2 linked regions of the Alligator mississippiensis genome follow. The protein of the gene in region 1 purifies or fractionates together with the protein of each later gene. This does not show direct contact. Links are inferred from orthologs where the notes say so. Each region holds a gene or a part of one and is shown on either strand. Other genes may lie near its edges.

Evidence for each region.
Region 2: the proteins of CASP3 (region 1) and CRYAB purify together in Homo sapiens (affinity purification with western blotting; 3 studies listed by BioGRID). This does not show direct contact. The link is inferred for Alligator mississippiensis from reciprocal best matches to the Homo sapiens genes CASP3 and CRYAB.

The regions. Positions count from the first base shown.
Region 1 is NC_081825.1:71,032,127-71,035,872, reverse strand, and holds the start of CASP3 (caspase-3), read right to left. Parts: upstream 2,867-3,746; 5' UTR 2,517-2,866; intron 2,462-2,516; exon of another isoform or gene 2,356-2,461; intron 2,154-2,355; exon of another isoform or gene 977-2,153; intron 1-976. UniProt on the Homo sapiens protein: Thiol protease that acts as a major effector caspase involved in the execution phase of apoptosis. Following cleavage and activation by initiator caspases (CASP8, CASP9 and/or CASP10), mediates execution of apoptosis by catalyzing cleavage of many proteins.
Region 2 is NC_081839.1:31,678,553-31,682,298, forward strand, and holds the start of CRYAB (alpha-crystallin B chain), read right to left. Parts: upstream 2,841-3,746; 5' UTR 2,617-2,840; coding exon 2,419-2,616; intron 1-2,418. UniProt on the Homo sapiens protein: May contribute to the transparency and refractive index of the lens. Has chaperone-like activity, preventing aggregation of various proteins under a wide range of stress conditions.

The DNA.
Region 1 (3,746 bases):
CAGAATTTCAAGTGTATCTAATACCCAATGGGAGACAGATATGCAACAAAGAAACCACAAGGCATAGGTCAAGGGTTGCAACCTGACATAAATGCCAGCACACTCCTCTTTCCTAACAGGTTCAGGTTGACAATACCTTGGACAGGGACCTTGATGGAAACCATGGGGGCTGCAGAAACTTACTATTTCCATGTCAGAGTCAAGGATGTATGTGGGTGGTATCTTTTATTGGACCAATTGCTTGGTTGTCATCTTCCTCTCATGTCTCTACACCACCTTTGACCATTTTGTTACACATGCTCATGCTCATTTATTGTACTTTATGAGGTCTTTCATTGTACACGTGCCTGCAAACAGCAGACATTACAGCAGGAGTTGCATAATCTGAAGCTCTCTGTCGCAGTCAGAGATGGTTGAACCGATGGTATAGCCCCTTCTTCATTAGTATCTTGCAGCACCTAACTCTGGTACGTAGGCGGTTGAGACTCTGCCACCTTTGCCATGTTTCATCAGCCCCTGGTGATAAGGACTCGGCTGCTGGAATGCCCTTATTCCGCTGTCAGGTACTTTCTTCAGCCTTTCGTTCCACATGTGTAGTAGTCTTGTCTCCTTGAGCGTGGCATTGAGAGGATGGGTGCTGGTGAGGAAGCTCCTGCGTGATTTCAGATGTTTGGGTATTGCGGGATGGTCATACAGTGGGCATCTCACATCTTCAGTTTGTCTCGATGATTCTATCCTGCAGGCCACTATTCTTCTGATGTCAGGCAGAGCATTGCCAGCTAGCCCTGTTTATCCTGGTAGGCTTCAGACATCCTGTGATAGCAGCTATCGTTCAGAATAGGGTCAAGGTGCTTAGTACAGGGCATGCATACTCAGCAGAGAAGCTGGAAGCCAGAGCAGTGCTTCCAGTGGTTGAGGGGCTCACTCCCCATTTCAAGCTGGTGAAGTTATGCAGAATGTTATTCTGAGTACTCACCTTTGCTTTCATCTTCATGTATGAGAGGGTTTGATCGAGGGTGACTCCAAGGTAAACTGGATTTGGACAGTGGGATAGTGGGGTCCCGGACATCCAATGCTGAGCCGGTCGGTGGTTGGCCTCACTGTTTTTCAGACAGAAGGCACATACATGGTTGTGTTTTTGTTGGGTTGATATATAACTGGTTTTCAGTGTAGTATGAAGTTAGGCCAACTAGTGCTTCCGTAAGGGATTTTTCAACATTGTCAAAGTTAGTGTTTGGGCTTGTTATGGGCAGGTTGTCTGAACAGATGAAACCTTGTTTCCAAATTGATTGGCTGGTCAAGTTCCACAACAGTGGTGCAAGTATGCTTCTTTTGGGGGAGGCCATTAATGTCACTTCCATCTACTTCACTTCCCATCCAGTTTGGCAAAAAAGTGTTTTTGAGCTGGGTTCACATCAGTTCTGTAAGGCACAGATCTTTTGTCATTTCCGGGGTCTTGTGGAGGAACTGGTGGTTAACTATATCGTAGATGGCTGTTAGGTTGATAAACACAGCTCTGGTGATTTGGCCTCTTTCAAAACCATCCTCAGTATCTTGAGTCAGAATAAGCAGCTGGCTTGGTGTTGATTTTCCAGGGCGAAGGCTGCCCTGTTTGGGGATCAGGCATTTATTTACGTATGGGACAAGCCAGTTCAGCATCAGCTAGCCGTATAATCTGTATGTGTGGTATAGCAGAGAGACAAGTTTGAAGCTCTTTGGGACAGCTGGGTCCTTCCCTGGCTTGAAAAGTGCTGCTGCCTGAGCATGTCACCAAATCTTTGGCATTTTTTGGCTGGCTGCACGAGCCGCATGAGCAGAAGAGCTGTTCTGGAACCTGGTGTCCAGACTCCTGCTAGTGCCCCAACCACGATGTAACCGCTCAGTCGGGACAGACCTAGTTGAGCTGCTGAATACAGTGGCCACCAGGGGAAGAGGGGACATGTGGAAGTGAAAGGGCACAGGACTAGTCAAAGCAGCAGTTGCAGGGAGCCGGGCAGGGACACTTCAACAGCAACACCCAGCTCCAACTGCGTTCAAAAGCTTGTTTAAGTCTCTCCCAACCAAATCGGGGTCCAGTACAAGACTCCACCCACATAAATCCTTGCCTCTTGCCTAGTTCCTGCACCAGTGAGGGGTACAACCTCACTCAAACGGTGTTTCTACAGCGGCACTTCAGGAGGCGGGGGAGGAACGGGCACCACTCCCTACTGCCAAGTGCCCGGGCCAGCGGGGACCGCCGCGCTGGGTAGCCGGGTCTCGACCACGCGGAGTAGCGGGGGGCGGAGGACGAGGCTGAGCACTAAAGCCGGGGCTGGGGCGGCGCCGCCAAGTCCGCGCAGGCTCCGCCGCCTGGTGCCCCGCCTCGGGCGCAGGCTTTGTCCGGCGGGGCCGCGCCGCCACCTCCCTCCCCCCGCGGCGATAGGACGGGTCCTCGCACGGGACGCAAGAGCAGCACCACGGGGTGAAATCCCCCCTCCCTTTCCCCGCCCCTCCCGGCGCCGCGCTGTGGTACTGACCTGCCGCCCTGCTGGTCCCGCTGCGATTGCCGCCTGCAGAGAGAAGCCGAAGCCCCGCCCCGCCCCGCCCCGCGCGGCGGGTTCGAAGCGCGAGGGGGGGGCTCCCAGCAGCCTTTGCGGCGGCTCCCCACCCATACAGCGCGGGGAGTGGGGCTGAGGGGGTGCCGCTGTGGGAGGGCCGCGGTGTCCCGCAACCCGTCACCGGGCCGGGGTCGTGCCTGGGGCACCTATTGCAGGGCTGGCACTGCACGTGGCCTCCCTCTGCCCCACGCGGCAGGGAGCAGCAAGCGGAGCGGCAGACAGGGCGGGAGCAGGGGATCAGTCAGGGCGCGGCCTGTGACTCGCCTGCCAAAAAGGTGCCCCCCCCCACCGTGCATTGGGTGCAGGGGAAGCCAGGGGGTGCATGCCCTGGTGTCTCCTGTAGGTTGTTGTGTCCTCCCCAGACATGGGGGCATCATTGGAGCATGGGTCCTTAGGGAGGGGGTAGGAGTTGGGCAGCAGCAGGAGGAGCACCAATGGTTTCCGTGACCTGAGGAAGTCTGGAAAGTACTGACAGGTGGCTGCGTGCTCGCCAGCCTCAGTTTGCATGCCTGGGAGACTTTGCTGGTGGAAATGGGCACTTGTAGCATTTCTAGGGCGTTAAGGTGTCTGTAATATTAGACGGGCCCTTCTGAGGATGTTGTTCTGGACATGAGTGAGGGCATAAAGGGGAGGGTTAAATACTGACATTCTCCTTGTGGACCTGGCCTGTAATTGTCCAGAGGGCAGGGTGTGGAGTTAGTTCAGGGGTGGGCAATTATTTTGGGTGGAGGGACACTTACTGAGTTTTGGCAAGCCATGGAGGGCCGCATGACAGGCAGCCCGGGGCAGATAAATACTAATTTTCTAAATTTTTTAGGGTCACCACAGGCCGGATAGAATGGCCTGGCAGGCCATATTTTGCCCACCCCTGAGTTAGTTTCGCTCTGTTGATGTCCCGGCTGAGTAATCTCGGTGGGATACTGAGTCGGGGAGAGAGAATCCGAAGTGGAAGAGGAGGGGTGTGAAGAAGCAGGGGAAAGAAAGCAATGATGCAAAACAAAAGATGTACGAGGGGAAAGGGGAACAAATCAATTAATGGTAGCAGGAACAGGTCTTGTGTGTCTGTGATAAAACTCCTGTAGAAACTGCCATGCGCGCTTTAAAGAGTTTTGAGAGAGAGGGCATTTTGCTGGGTGAAAATGACAAAAG
Region 2 (3,746 bases), on another chromosome or scaffold:
ACCCATGGTAGGGAATGCTGTTTTGTCTCAGCTTCGCAGGGGCTGGAGGGATGCTTGCTCGGCTTCACTCTTGGAACCGAACCACCGAGCCCGGCCGTCCTCCTCCCTCCTGCCTGCTTCATTTTTGTTTTCCCTTTCCCAGCAGGTGGATGTGCCTCCTGCTCCATCGGCACGTGTTCAGGCTCTAGGCTCACTCTGAGCCAAGCTATTTGCTCCCTTTGGAGTCCTGTGGCTTTCTCAGGCTTTGGATTTCTCTTTGTAACGGTCAGTGTTTGAACAAGACCCCCCTTGAAAACCTGGTCCCTCCGTGTCTGAGTTTTGGGACATGCAGAAGGTGGTCCAGCTCCATCAGAGCCGCTGCGTCACACCTCCACCTTCTTTCACTTGGAGAAATCCCAGGGGTTACCTGCAACCAGGGGCCCGATGCACTGGGCACTCCCTTTTTCCATGGACCAGCCCCAGAAAGAAGCAGCAGCTTTTAAGCCAGCAATGTGCTGTTTCATGTGGTATTGCAAGAGGGCATCGTCCCCTTCAGATCATGCTAGGTAGGTTTGTCACCAGCTTTTCAAATGATCCCACTATCTTTCCTCCTCCGCACCCTGGAGTTGCTGCCAAAGCCACACAGGGCTCTGCTGTCTCCGTTACCCCCTAACGCCAGCAGAGCCACCCCTGCCTCCCCGGTCTGAGAAGAATCAGGCCTGCTGTTTACCAGCTTTCCAGGGTGTCGCAGCCAAGGTCCTGTGATCCCAGCAGCTGCTTTTACCTCCCACTCCACAAGGCAGGACCTGGCGCGATAAATGGGACCTTTTCATGGACGGGCACATTGAGAGGAATTTCAACCCAGCTGACAGGAGGCATATGCCGCTCTTGGCAGCATCATCCGGGGGCTCGGGGATGCTGGAGAGCAAGGGGGAATTGTCTGGGAAGACGAGATCAAGGGGGAAGAGGAGCCCTGGGCTGAGCGGCAGGTTGGAGAAGGAACTTCCCCATCCCTAGGTTACAAATAACGCAGCCAGCGTCTCTGCATAACTGGCACTGATGTCTCGCTGGAGAGGCTTTGGCAGGAGTCCCATGCTCTTCTGAGCTGAGCTGGGAGGAGGAAGCTGCCAGCGACCGGTGGGAACCAAGGAGCTGCTTCCTCATTGTCCTGTGGCCCTTTGGCATCAGGACGCTGCCACAAAGGAGCTGGCATCAGCTGCCCCCTTCCCACTGCACGCTATCCCCCTGGTAGGAGCCCCACACCTCCCTGGTGCCAGCCCTGTGAGCAGGGGGTGTTGGTCGCTGGGGACGGTCTCACCTGCCCCTTACAGGGCTCTGAAGGAAGGGGCACGAGCCTCAGCTGTGCCAGGCAGGGCGGCACGGAGCAAGGAAGCTGCCCACTGCCTCCCCGTGTGAACCAGACTGTGTAGGAAGCAAAGGGGCAGGGAGGGGGACTCAACGGCTGGCACATCCTTGGAGCAGGGCAGGCACCTGCTCAATAAGCCTCTCGCTCCGACTCGTCCAGCCCCAAAGCCCATCCCTGCTCCCTGGCGCAGATCTTCTGAGAACATCTGCCCTAGCAGTGACTTGAGGCTGGATGGCAGGTGCATTTTTGCACCGGGGGATGTGATGCCCAACAGGAGGACCTCACTTTGAGTCCCCCCCAGGATCCGTGTGATTGCTTGGCACCAGCGGGGCATTAGGAGCAGCCTCCCGGCCTCTGAGACATGTTGCAGGCCCCTGCTGTGGGCTCCGGGGTCCTGCTGACTTTCCGAGAGGCCGGGGAGAGTTGACCTTCCTCGGTGTCCTTCCAGGAGCAGTCAGCCCAGTCAAGGGCAGGGCAGGGGCAGTGGCAGACTGGTTCCTGCCCCCGTTCCAGGGGTGGCAGGAAGGTGATGGTCCAGGACCAGGGAAAGAGTTGCACAAGGGGTTTTCCTTTGGCCTTTAGTCTACAAAATCCATGTGGATGAGGGGTCCACGCATAAACACAGCACCGCTACCCTCCCACCTGCTGCATGTCCGAAAGGGTCTCTAGGTCTTCTGGGGTCCTTCCTTCCTCTGGGAGCAAGTTTGGTCTAGCAGCTAGGAGAAGGGACCGCAACTCCCACATTCCCTGCTGCTTGCCCCTTGAACCCACGGCTACAGTACCAATTGCCAACATCCACAAGGGAATGGAATGCTTAATTACCATTAATTAGCATCTTATAAGATGACTGTTCCCTGCCCCGCGCACCGCAGCTGGAACCCAGAGGTCTGCACAGCTGCTCCTGCCTGATGTGGAGGATCAGCCCTGGTGCCTCCAGCTTGCCCTCTCCCCATTGCCCCCCAAATCACTCCCTGGAAACAGCTCCTGACTCTGCAATGAGTCCCGCCGTCCCAGGCTCCCCCAGGTGCAGAGCCAGCAGCAGACCACAAAGCGCGGCAAGAGAGAAGCGTTACCTCGGAGAACCCTGTCTCCAGCCAGCTGGGCATCCGCAGGAAGGGGGACCTCAGCAGGAAGGGGCTGATGCTGGAGGAGGTGGGGAACAGCTCAGACTCGAGGAGGTGCTCCCCGAAGCTCTGGTCGAAGATGCGGCTGGGGGTGAACAAGGACATGAAGGGTCTGCGCAGCAAGGGGTGGTGAATGGAGACATCCATTTGCCTTGGCTGGGGGAAGCGGGAGTGCGACTGCAGCTGAGTTGTGCTGGGACCGGTGCACGAGGGCTTTTTATAGCCCCAGCTGTCCTGGGCGCGCCTCCTGCTGAACTCTCTGGAACAATGATGTCAGGAGTTTTATCATCCTGCTCCCGTCTGCGCCATTCAGCACTGGCCGGGCCATTGTCTGGGGGATTTGGATTAAGGAGCCGAGGCGGGGGGAAAAAAGAGAACTTGGTCTCACGGGTCAGCAAGAAGCCGAGGCCGGCTGGCCAGCCTCCTGGCCCCCCCACGCCTTGTTTATCAGCAGAGCCCTCGCCAGCCCGGCCACGGCTCCAGCTGCTTCAGATGCCAGGAGGATCAGTGCAGCGCCTATCTTTGGCTCACGCAGAAGCGACAAGGGGCTGTTGTCTTTCCTGTTGGGCTTTGCAATTTGGGTCCCAGGGACACATGCAAGGCAGCTCTGCTGCTCCATGGGTGGAGGCTGGCTCACCGCGGGACTTGTCCCTCTCCAGCTACACCTGTGAGCCCTGATGCCCCCAGCCAGTGCCGGTCTGTCCCTCCTTTTGCCCCAGCTGCAGCAGGCCTGGTCCTACCCTGCCAATCGGGGGGTCCTGCCCCTCTGCAGCTTGCACGGGTCTTGTCACCTGCAGCCCGTTCCGTGTCTGTTTGCAAATCAGGATGACAAAGGGGTCAGCACCCAAATGTCCCCTGAGCACTTCCACACTTCTGCCTTGGCCCTCAACCCACACGGCTCTCTGCAGGCAGCGGCAAGCCCTGGGTAAGGGTGAGGGGAGGCGGGAGGGGAGCGGGCAGGGTGTGAGCCTTGGCAGCTGTTGCCTCTCGCTTTCCTGGGGGCAACGAGACCAGCTCAGCGTCCCCACGAGTCCGCCCAGCACCCAGCCCCCTCCCAGCACTAAAGCCTTGTCATGGGAGAGCGGCGACAAGCCAGACACAGGGAGACCTCTGTCCAGTCTGGCTGAGAGGGGGGGATAAACCTGCTGCATGAACGGACCCCTGTGTCCTTTGGGCCATTGGTGTGCACTGGGGCCTATAAGCCCCAGTCACAGCACAGCGTCCCCGTGTGCTCAGTGCTGTACAAACACTGGGCCAAGAAATGGTCCCTTCCCCAA